3 linked regions of the Nothobranchius furzeri genome follow. The protein of the gene in region 2 purifies or fractionates together with the protein of the main gene of each other region. This does not show direct contact. Links are inferred from orthologs where the notes say so. Each region holds a gene or a part of one and is shown on either strand. Other genes may lie near its edges. The genes, in order: foxm1, mybl2b and lin37.

Region 1 (4,269 bases), on a different chromosome or scaffold from region 2:
ATAGATATAAATAAATCCGAGTTTGAAAGTAAACAAATTGCATGTAGGTAATTGTATCAAGTGATAGGTGCATGTCTGCCTTCAGGTTAATGCTGCTTATAAAAACTGAATTAAAGGTAAAAGTGATCATTTTGTAAATTCCAATGTTTGTCTTTGGTACTTTATCCCTCCGACAGAACCCTAACCCTAACCCCATCACCAAAGAAAGTATAACCATGCACCTTTAAACGTCTTCTAAATAAATAAACACAAAAATACTTACCCATGAATCAAGAGTTGAGCTGTGCTTCTGTGTCTCGTTGAAAAAATCCCTGGGATTAATTGCTGCTCTTACTTCAGGTAAATGTCGACGTCTGGCGCCACCCAGAGGCCGCTCCACGAATGTCAGGGCAGGCTTGTCTGTCTTTGAGACTTTGCGGGGCATTGATTTAAATATTTCCTGAACATCTGATGACAAGTAAGGAATAGATTAGTAAAACCCCTCAATTAATGTCTGCCTTTGTCAGACTATCTAACAGAATACGGATGTTTACGCTTAACATGCATCAAATTGTATACATCCAAATGCTTTCTCTCTATCTCGGGTTAATACTTACTGCATTGTTGTTCTTTGGACACTATATTCAAATCGTCCCACAAAGTTAAAAACAAACAACAGTTAGTCAATTCATGAAATCATCTTTTGTTTCTACTTCCCGGGTTTCTTCTTTGTCGTCTTTTCTCCGACTTGCGCAGCCGCATGTGGGTGATTTAGCGCCCCCTAGAGTACTTCTTGTCCGTTGAGCTTCTTGTTCCCATTGGCCCGTTTTTACCACGTGATCAACATGAAGGGGGACACCACCCACAGCGCCAAAATTCAAAAACGGTTTCTGACTTGACACGTAAACAACCTGTAATAAAGGCTTGGTAGCTGTCACATATCTTTTATCAAAAATGTAATACGAGCGAAGTGCTCCACAACATCAGCGTTGGAGTTCAAACCAGCGGAGCCGTCTGAAACAAGAAATATGAAGGTCTGGCTTTATTTAGTAGCTTTGCTGTTAGCAATCAGAAGCTACCACCAGCAGCAGTGGTAGCATCGGGCTTTTAAGCTGAAAACCCATTTTCTTAGATGAGACATGGTGTTGTTAGGGCCCAATTTAAGCTTCAAACGTGTCATTGTGTCATAACCTGAAATACTATTTACAACGTATACAACGGTTAGCCATGTCATTGTGAATAAACGTTAAATTATACTTCCGGTGTGAATTTAACGCCTGAATTCTCCAGTTGCCAAGGAATAAAACCTCGGATAACCACTGAGCCGTAACACGGATACGTTAGTCGGAACTTTTTGTCTTAATAGCGTAACCCACAGCGTGTTTTAATATAACATGAATTAATCGTGTGCTTTAATATTAATAGATACGTAGACACGTAAAATAACAACTTAACTTTCCACCGGTGATTTGCGTTACAACGGTTTTCTGATATGATGCAAGCAAGGTAAAGAAAAAAAAATGTGTTCCTAAAATATTCTTTATTTTTTATTTTTATATATATATATTTTTTTTATTTTTCCCACAGCTTACCAGTGAATTTGGATGGACGTTTCAATGATTTGACCATGAGAAGGAGTCCGAGGAGACCCCTTATCCTGAAAAGAAGAAAACTACCTTTTCAGCAAAATGAAGCAGCTGACGCACGCTCTCCATCTGCTGCTTCAAGCTCCAAAGAATCCTCAAAACCAGCTGCCAGTCAGTGCCTCCTAGATGGTGTCCACATCATGGGTCATTCATCCATGTCTGACACTCAGGTGGTTTTCATCCCCAAAGACGTGGATCTTCAGGTTGTTATTGATGCCATTACTGCAAAAAGTAAAGAGTGTGGTGACCAGGGTCCAAGCAAGTTCATCCTTCTGAGTGAGAGTGGAAGCCGGGACAATGGATCTTCTTGTCAAGAATTTGCCAGAGAAGAATCTGTTCCTACGAGGAGTCCAGTTGGACAATCTGTAAGCTCGGAAGCCACATTCAACACTGAAGCTGATCATCAATCTGGCTGTAAATACGGTATGACAGTTTATGCTGTCTCTGATATCTCACCATCCCATATCATTGTCCATTTAAGCACTCTTCTCTTTCATCAGTGATTAAAGAAGCGAGTTGCAGCCCGTTAGACGACAGCCTCACAAACATCCAGTGGCTGGGCAAGATGGACTCCTGTGCCCTAGAGCCGGATTCTGAAGAACAGACGACAGACAAATCGATTCCAACATCCCAGAATTTACAGGTCAGTCTTGCTTCTTTTTGTGTGATGCAGATGGCCTACTGAGTTCTGACAGGACTCCCGAGTGTCCCCTAAAACCACAGACGAACTACTGACTGATTTACAGGCTTATTTGGTTGCTACAATTAGAATGGAGGTTAAATATGATTTTTTTAATTAGATAGTTGGATTTGAAATTAAATATTTTAGTATTTCTCAGTAAAAATTCATCACTCTGGGCTACAGTTGGAGCAGCTTCAGACCCATCTCTAAACTTCCGTTCATCTCCAAGATCTTGGAAAAGGTTGTGGCTAAACAACTCACAGCTGCTCTTGATGAACATAACATCTATGATAGCTTCCAGTCAGGTTTTCGTAGAGCTCATTCTACTGAAACAGCACTTCTTAGGGTCTCTAATGACCTTCTGACTCACAGCGATGCAGGGGACTGTTCTGTTCTGGTCCTGCTGGACCTGACTGCAGCCTTTGACACTGTTGACCATCACCTGCTACTGGAGAGGCTGAGAGACTGGGTAGGCCTATCAGGAACTGCTCTGGAGTGGTTCTCTTATCTCTCTGAGCGCTCCTTTTCTGTGGTCGTCTCCAAGTTTAGGTCCTCCACCACCTCCCTTACCCATGGTGTCCCACAAGGTTCTGTGCTGGGGCCTCTGCTCTTCCTCCTCTATCTGCTTCCTCTTCAGCACATCCTGAGCTCCTTCAAAGGAATCTCCTACCATCTTTATGCAGATGACATCCAACTGTACATCTCCTTTAAGCCCCATGAGATGTCTAAGCTGCAGCTGTTACACACCTGCTTAGACTCTATCAAACCTGGATGGCTGGGAGCTTTCTACAGCTGAATGAAGATAAGACTGAGATCCTCATCTGTGCCCCAGACAAGCTGGTTCCCAAAGTCAGAGACTCTCTTGGTCAGCTTACTTCTCACACCAAACCTTCCGTCAGGAATCTTGGCGTGACCTTTGACCCAGCTCTCACCCTGGATTCTCATGTCAGTTCTCTTGTTCGCTCTTCCTTCTTCCATCTCAGGAACATTGCTAAGCTGAGTCCCATTCTGTCCCGCTCTGAACTTGAGACTGTGCTCCACACCTTCATCTCCTCACGCTTAGACTACTGTAACTCTCTTTTCACGTGTCTGAGCAGAACCTCCCTGAACCGTCTACAGGTGGTTCAGAACGCCTGTGCTCGGCTTCTGACCAAGTCCTCCAAACACACCCACATCACCCCGCTTCTCCTCCAGCTTCACTGGCTGCCAGTCAACTTCAGGGTTCATTTCAAGATCCTGGTTCTGGTCTATAGGGCCTTACATGGACAAGCACCATCTTACATTGGTGATCTTCTTAGTCCCTACACCCCCAGCAGGTCCCTGAGGTCCAGTGATCAAAGCCTACTGGTTGTGCAGCACCAGGCTAAAGGTCAAAGGTGACAGATCATCTGCTGCTGTGGCCCCCAGACTCTGGACCTCTCTCCCCCTGAGCCTGAGATCAGTGGACTCAGGGGTCTCCTTTAAAAAGCAGCTGAAGACTCACCTGTTCAAGCTGGCTTTTGTATGACCTTCTTCACCTCTCTCTCTTTATTCTGCTCTCCTCACCTATTCCACCTTCCTCAGGATCCACTGATTTCCCTCTTTCCTGTTCACTCTCTCTCTTTCTTAACATTTTTTTAATCACAATTGTCTATTTTTGCTCATTTTAATATATTTTTAAACATCTTCTAAATGCTTTTTTCTATTTTTACATTTTTTGTTTTTGTGAAGCGCCTCGTGATTTTTATCTTGAGAGGCGCTGTAGAAATGATACTTTCTTCTTCTTCAGTTGGATAAAATATCCTCTATGATTGTTGCACATATAGATGATTCTCTTTGTGTTTTTTCTGTGACTATTTGCAGCCACATGGTCCATACGCCAGTGCAGAAGCTGTCCAGGGTACCGAAGCAGAGAGACCTCCATACTCCTACATGGCCATGATTCAGTTTGCCATCAACAGCAAGAAGGACAGGAGGATGACG
Region 2 (3,045 bases):
ATTGCAGTTCCACCCTCATCCACTAGGGGCTGGTGTCAGAAGCGAGCAAATCCTCATTGACTCCCATGTTAAAAATACCAATTTCACAGCAGAAATAAACATGTTCACAGCCTGGTACCAAAACATGTTTTTGGTTTAAATTATCTAGTTTACACTCATGACAACTCTGAGGGGGGTGAATTTTTTTCTCACTCTTCTGTTTAAGTGTATTAAAAGCCTAAAATTCTGTATAATTAATGAGCATCCGACCCACGTGACCACAGAGCTAGCTCCGTGGAAAGGCCTCAGTAGAGCCTCGGTCTGGCCTGGAAACTGTTCCAGGATTTTGAGTCTCTGTGTGTGTGTATTCTTTTTTGGATATTTTTTGTGCAATTGTTGGACAAAATGACTTGCTGTGGCATTAATTGCACTAATAGAGCATCCAAGGAGCCTGCACTTCATTTTTTTCGGTAAGTAAAATTATATTTATGTATTTTAGGTCACTGCCGAGCTGAGCTTAGATTTTAACACGTACTGTTTAACCATGAAATTTAAATGTAATAGGGTAAAACCCAGTGCATTTAACATAATGCTACACTTTAGAAAATGGGTTGAAATATAACATGTTGGTGGAGCTGGGTTCCCACTATCGGCTTGTGGAGCTCTCGGGAGACCGATGTTTTCCACCCGTTCTCCCCTCCCTGCAGCTCGGCGCATCTCGGTCTGCTGCGCGGACTGCCGGCTTTCGGCAGCTTTTGGGAGACCTCTGTGTTCCACCCGGTTTTACCCAGCGGTCAGTCCGGCGTATCTCTGACTCAGAAGCTCTGGTGTTGTGCACAGTTAACTCCGGTTGTAGCTAGGTTGCTACCTCCGTTAGCTTAGCTCCCACCTCCGCATTAGCTTCAGGTTAGCTTGTAGCTAGTTCGACCGGGTGTCGTCAGTTGATCCCAGCCTTACAGCCCCACCCTCAGCTCCACCTCTCTTTCCTTTTGTGGAATTGTCTGGGCTTGACGGAACCTGTGACACGGTCAAAATGGCGGTGGTGGCCACCTCCCATTTTGGCACAAAAGCGTGATATTGGAGCCTATGGAAAGGAGATGTCCACGTATATTTATGTCAAAGGCATGGACCGAGGTTTTCTTAGAATCAGGAACATTTCCAGCACAGGTACAGAACCATTAGTACATTTGCTCCTACTGTATACGTACAGAGATCGTGTTATTTTTTATCTTCTACTTTTCAGTTGTTAGATCAGGAATCTAATTTCGTTGACGATAATATTTTATTCTGGATATTTTAATTACAGATTAGTTTTATTTGGCAGCATTTTATTTTTCAGATTACCGACATCATTTCATATGGAACAAACCCGTCTCAACAGAAAACGACGTGTTTTAGATGCTGAATTCACGACATGCTGATTACTCTGTGAAATTATGTATTTGAATGTTTTAATTAAAATACACCAGCGTCAACTTCACCCGTACAAATCCAGCAGCTGATATTCAGCATGGCAGGTGGCCTGACCTCCTAGTGACCAAAGCACTCGTCACCTCGTTGAGCCGCGTGGCTTTTAGTCAATCGGGTTACGTCTCTCTGACCACGTGACGCCAGGAGGTGGCCTTTTTTTTAAATGGATGTAATGTTTGCAGGTGTATTGAGGTAAACAAACCCAATACAGAATGTCACACAAATAAAACATCATAAAGTCGTTTCTTCCATGATTTTACTACCTCTCTGAATCCGCTCTTTCCCGTTAGAGTGGGAGGAGCTACAGCTTTCTTGGTGCTCCTAACTCCTTGCTGCCTGTAATTGTTCGGTTTTACTTCCTCTCTTATAAAGCACGCTGCTTCACGCCTGACTGGAAAAAAGCTCTCGTTACCGCTGTTTTGCGCCGTTGCTCCGGTGGAGTGGAACGCATGACGACCACATTTATCCCCGCATCTCTGAGGATGACTTCGTTAATATCGTTTTCAAGGTTTGGAGTCTGGGGCTGAGGAGACCAAACAGGAAATAGCAGAAATCAAACACAGAAGTAAACCAAACACCTACCAGCGGCTGTGAGGAGACCGGGGCGAGACTCACCAGAGGATGCAGAGCGCCGTACTTCTCCATGGCATTCTTGAACGGTGTTGGGGTTCGTGGCGTTGTGCAGATCCCAGACTTGTGGTTCGGAGTAACAAACCTAAAATACACACAAAAATAAGGTCATGAGTGAAAATAAAAACACTGATCTGTTCCACAGCAAAGCAGCAGGGCCTCACATGGACAAGCACCATCATACATTGGTGATCTTCTCAGTCCCTACACCTCCAGCAGGTCCCTGAGGTCCAGTGATCAAAGCCTACTGGTTGTGCAGCACCAGGCTAAAGGTCAAAGGTGACAGATCATTTGCTGCTGTGGCCCCCAGACTCTGGAACTCTCTCCCCCTGAGCCTGAGATCAGTGGACTCAGCGGTCTCCTTTAAAAAGCAGCTGAAGACTCACCTGTTCAGGCTTTGGTCGGACCTTCATCACCCTCTCCTTGTTCCACCCGTTCCACCTTTCCCGGTTTCCACTGATTAGCTCTTATTCATTTCCTCATTTCTTTCCTTACATTTTTTATTTTTCTCATTTTTGTGATTTTTCAATCACTTTTAAAAATCTTTTTTATTTTAATTGAGACGATTTTTTATCTGGTGAGGCGCCGCGCTACAGAAAACATCTGTCCTCTCTTCTTTTTCACTCACATGGATTTTTCCTTCTGCGTGAGCGGCGTTTTGTCCCGCTGCAGCGGCGTGGTGACGACGACCTTCTGGCTGCACACGGGGGTGGACGTGAGGGACGGGTTCTCCAGGTCGTGCGTGTCCTGCTTGGTCCACATGTTCAGGAACTGAAAACAACAAGTCAGGTCGGCAGATTTTGTGCCTCTAAAAAACGACGTTTAGTAAAAGAGGAGATTAAACGGCCATTTTATTTATAAAGGCAGCAAACTCCAATCTTACAATAAAACGATTAACCAGTTGTCACGGCTTTGGGACAAACATCACTTCTGACATCTTTGTAATAACCAGCTTCATGCTAATAG
Region 3 (4,364 bases), on a different chromosome or scaffold from region 2:
CAAGGTTCTTCCATGGACACAAACTGTCTCCGGCATTCAGATGAAGTTAGCATAAACTAGGACACGCTGTAAACTTATAGCCTACACAATTTTTCTTTTATGATTATTCAAAAACTAAACACATTTATTTATAAAACATTTCACAAACAAGTCACCAACACAGAGTGGAAAGAACACAACAGGTCAAGGAGGATCCCAGTGAACTCACGCTGATGGATCTGTCACCATGATGCGGTCCAGCTGGGCTGCCGTCTTTCAGAGGGAGGACACGTTCGGGCATGGGAAAGGATCCAGCGGAAAGTTTGTCACAGAAATTTTACACAACCCACGAGCTTGTAATATTTACTGTGTCGTGTGACTAAACACAGCAGAAGTTAAAAATAATACCACTGTTTGATGCTTTAGTAGGAGTTGAACTGTGGACTGATGAGTTAAACATCCACCCAAACGGCATCTGCTCTTCTCCAGCCACCTGCTGCCGTTTCTGAGGCTGACTGTGGCCAAAGCGCTCGATGTGTCTGTAACAAAAACACGTCATGGCTTTGTGAGGCCCACAAATTCAATCATCTCTACGGTGAAAAAACACCAGCAGATTTACTTTGCCATCACGGAATCATCCTGAACTCCTGAGGAAACTGTTGATGTCTCTGGTCTGGCAGGCAGATCGCACGCCAGCATTTCAGGAGAGGACCTGTAGTCAGTGGTGGGCCAGATTTCTGTAAAAACATCTCCACCATCGTGACTCTCCTGTAGCTGTTGGCTTCCTCCATTCTGGGAGTGACACTGTTTCCTAGAGCTCTGGCTGGGATGCACAGGACTCTGCAAAGAGCATAATAATAATAATAATAATAATACTAAAATAAAATAAATCACGTCCCAAATGCTGGACTAAAAAACACAAACATGAGTAAAGGTAAGAAATGTTGGCAAAGCTGACATACATCTGTCTTTGGCAGGGATTGCTTGCGGGATGGATGATGAGCTCTTCTCACAGAGGATGCAGGTGTGAAGGGATTCTTCCTTGCAAACACAGATCCACTATAAAAACAACCATTAGAGATAAAACTATTGTTTATGGTGGTATAAAAAGGAGCTTGTTGGATCTTACCTGGATTTCATAACTATTGAAGAACGGAAAATGTTCTCTTCCTTGTTTTAACCCTAGTGTTCTCACTAGGCGTCGTGAGTTACCATGGACTCCAACGCTACAAATCACCTTTAAGTTAGGAAATTAAAACAGCTACACGCAGCCGCATCTACTACAGACTCAGATTTCCTAAGTTTATAAAACTATAAAAAGGGTGACAAAACACAAAAGCGTCACGCTTTTTTGGTGTTTGCCACACCACTCAGCCAATAAAATCCTCGCTAAAATGGCGCACATGTCATTTGTCCAATCACAGTGGTTTGAACAAGCACCAATCAGCTATTCGGGTGTTACATCAAGATGTGTTCCCCGCCGGAAGTGTTTTCTTTCCCTGCGTCACTCATTTTTATATTTAATCTCTGGTCTTTAAAGCAACGTTATTTTAAGAAAATAGCCAGATAATATCTTAGTAATCTATTATGTTATTTTTGTGCATTCCAGCACGGCAAACAAATCATCAGGGCAGGAGGGGAAAAACTCTGTGTTTAGGTGAGACATAAGCTCGCGGTTACGCCACTCATAAAACTGACTCACTAATTCATAAAATAGACATCCCTTGTGTTTTTATTATGTATCTCGGAAAAAAGTACACATTTTACCGGGAGATGGCTAAAACACTACCAAGTGGGAACGGTTTTCAACCAGGGAACACATTTCGGGGTAACACCTGTTACGCGGAAGTTTGTAGAAGCAAGCTGAAGTTACATTAGCAACTATAGCTGAGCTAATACCTTCCACAGTTCGAATAATAAAACCAGTTGTCTGTACTATTTGAAGCAAATTATTGAAAGTTGTTTTGTCTAAATCATTAGGATAAAATAATATTTTTGCCATAGAATTTCTTCACTTTTTCTTTTACGAATAATCAGTTGGTTAAGCGCTGCTATGTAAGTCAGCTAATGGTGCTGTTGGCAAACAGCCGTTGCAGCCAGGATACCAGGACCCTTTGTTAGAGATCAAACAAGAATTAATTTCAACATTAAAAAAGGTTACAAAAGTGCTGAAAAGAAGACAATGCACCACATCAAGATAAAGACTGAACGGCTAGGTGAGATATACCCACAATATAACATTGGTTATAATTTCGTTCGCTATTTGTGCTTGCTTTAAAGATACAATATACATAACATTAGAGCCCAAAAACGAGAGACCTAGCTCTAAATCGATCTGCTTTTTATGTTACCTAGATGCAGAGAACACCGCTGCACGCAGCAAGTTGGATGCTGTGTTAAAGGGTCTTGTAGAGAAGAGCGAAAATGAGAGGTTAGTAAAACACACTTGACCATAGCTATGCTTTCAAATGATTAAATGCTTTTAATTGTACTCTCATCAGAGAACCAAATGAGGGTGATCCAGGAAAATTATCAGTGGACTCCTTGCACAAGTATGGATTAGTTTTTTTGTGATTTTATCTTTTTATTATGAAGAAGGATTCACACTTTATTTTTAAACAGCTGTAACAGTGTTTCAGTGCAATCATGGAATGCTCTTGTTATCTCTAGGGATTTGTCTCCATCTTCTGCTGGAAAGAGGTAATAATCAGTACTATGTTCTGTAAATGCGCAATAAATGTGCAATACCCAGAGATGCACATTTATATGTGTCTTTTATGCTTTTTCTCCTTGAAAACAGTTATGAATTTTCTATTTTATTCTGTTTTTATGCATTTATTTTGTTGCTGAAGGTTATGGTAATAGCCCAATACTCTTGTGTGTTTACCTGTATTATATTTTCCTATGTCTGTGTGTATGTGCTGCCCTAACAAGTAAATTTCCTCACTGTGGGATCAGTAAAGTCTATTCAAATACCTCATACAATTCTAAATACCTCATACACATACTTGATTTTCTTGTTTTTTTTATTGCAGCATAATTTTTTATCTGCACACATCGTTATATGAATTCAGTTATTTAGTACAGAAAATATTTCAGTTTTTTAAGCCTTTTTGCAAGTCCTCATGTTTGTTTTCATTTTATTTTCAGACCTTCAGCAAGATTTCCACAGCATCGAAGGAAGAAACGGAAGGAGATGGATGAGGGCATACCAGAAACCAATCCGCATAAACAAAGTAAACTCAACTCACATTCCATTAAATGACACGGTAGTATTATTTACCCTGATGTGTGTTTCCTTTGCCTTTGTTCTAGATGCTTATGTTATTAAGTTGTTTGATCGCAGTGTTGATTTGGCTCAGTTTAACACCAGCACCCCTTTATATCCAATTTGCCGTGCCTGGATGAGAAACAACCCTTCTGTTCGAGAGCCAACAGCTTCCCCAAACTCCCCACACAGCATGTTGGAGGAAGAAGTAAGGCTGCACATTCCTGTCATCATTATTTAATTGATTTAATTTTGTTTAAAGGAAATGAAAGCAAAACAACCATAAGAGAAAAAGTGTGTATAGTTTACAAAATATTTCTTCTAATTTAATTGTTTAAAATAAGTTTCATTGTACACAATTTGTGTGAAAATAATATTTGTCTCCTACCCCTCTTCACAATTAAATTATTATTATTATTGTAATTGTTGTTTACCAAGTTATGAACTTTATTTAATTGTAAATTTAACTTGTGATTGTCAGTCTGCATGTTTGTGTAATTTCCTTGAAAAGTTAATGGTTTTTAAGTGCATCGAGTTTGAAAAGCAGTGTAATATATTAATGAAACTTACAAACTGTGTGTTTTTTCATTGCCTAAAACAAATTTATGAATTTTGAAATGAGTCGAGATTTTACCAGTAAGTCCCCTAAAGATGGCAGTATTGCACCATCTCTTTAGCCATCATACCTGAGCTCTCTGTTATTTGTGTTCTATCCTTGCCCCAGGTAACAGACATGATAAACGGCAAAGGTCAGAATGTGTACCGACTCCCCCCTCCTGCTCCCAGCCCAGTTAGCCCTTCAGGTGAACCCATCAATCTCAGGATTCAACAAATTGAAAAACCCATCGTTACAAAGGTGCTTGAACGTTACATTTTTTTTCTCTTCGTTTTGTGTGTGTGTGTGTGAGAGAGAGAAATAGAATTGTACAAATCTTCAGATGTATAAAAATGGTGAATAAGGTTACTCTTTTCACAGTCAAGTGATGCTCCTGTGTCAGAATCCCTAATAAGTGACCACTTGGAACGCTGGAAAATGATAAGGCAGAAGTAAGTTCTTAGGAAAAATTTTATTTAATAAAAACTTTTGTTGCTCAGAATTCACCGTATCACTCAGGAG

What was found.
Region 1: the proteins of mybl2b (region 2) and foxm1 purify together in Homo sapiens (affinity purification with western blotting; 3 studies listed by BioGRID and IntAct, with this or other methods). This does not show direct contact. The link is inferred for Nothobranchius furzeri from reciprocal best matches to the Homo sapiens genes MYBL2 and FOXM1.
Region 3: the proteins of mybl2b (region 2) and lin37 purify together in Homo sapiens (affinity purification with mass spectrometry; 6 studies listed by BioGRID and IntAct, counting the BioPlex papers as one, with this or other methods). This does not show direct contact. The link is inferred for Nothobranchius furzeri from reciprocal best matches to the Homo sapiens genes MYBL2 and LIN37.

The regions. Positions count from the first base shown.
Region 1 is NC_091741.1:41,405,768-41,410,036, reverse strand, and holds the start of foxm1 (forkhead box protein M1), read left to right. Parts: upstream 1-1,356; 5' UTR 1,357-1,471; coding exon 1,472-1,485; intron 1,486-1,566; coding exon 1,567-2,048; intron 2,049-2,125; coding exon 2,126-2,268; intron 2,269-4,149; coding exon 4,150-4,269. Other genes in the region: rhno1 (RAD9, HUS1, RAD1-interacting nuclear orphan protein 1), read right to left, coding at 263-424. UniProt on the Homo sapiens protein: Transcription factor regulating the expression of cell cycle genes essential for DNA replication and mitosis. Plays a role in the control of cell proliferation. Also plays a role in DNA break repair, participating in the DNA damage checkpoint response.
Region 2 is NC_091743.1:41,540,963-41,544,007, reverse strand, and holds part of mybl2b (v-myb avian myeloblastosis viral oncogene homolog-like 2b), read right to left. Parts: intron 2,851-3,045; coding exon 2,708-2,850; intron 2,165-2,707; coding exon 2,065-2,164; intron 1,973-2,064; coding exon 1,862-1,972; intron 1-1,861. UniProt on the Homo sapiens protein: Transcription factor involved in the regulation of cell survival, proliferation, and differentiation. Transactivates the expression of the CLU gene.
Region 3 is NC_091745.1:37,814,281-37,818,644, forward strand, and holds the start of lin37 (protein lin-37 homolog), read left to right. Parts: upstream 1-1,508; 5' UTR 1,509-2,161; coding exon 2,162-2,195; intron 2,196-2,330; coding exon of another isoform or gene 2,331-2,334; coding exon 2,335-2,410; intron 2,411-2,480; coding exon 2,481-2,531; intron 2,532-2,649; coding exon 2,650-2,679; intron 2,680-3,129; coding exon 3,130-3,215; intron 3,216-3,294; coding exon 3,295-3,455; intron 3,456-3,971; coding exon 3,972-4,103; intron 4,104-4,223; coding exon 4,224-4,294; intron 4,295-4,364. Other genes in the region: proser3 (proline and serine-rich protein 3), read right to left, coding at 209-252, 388-518, 599-819, 942-1,038, 1,109-1,119.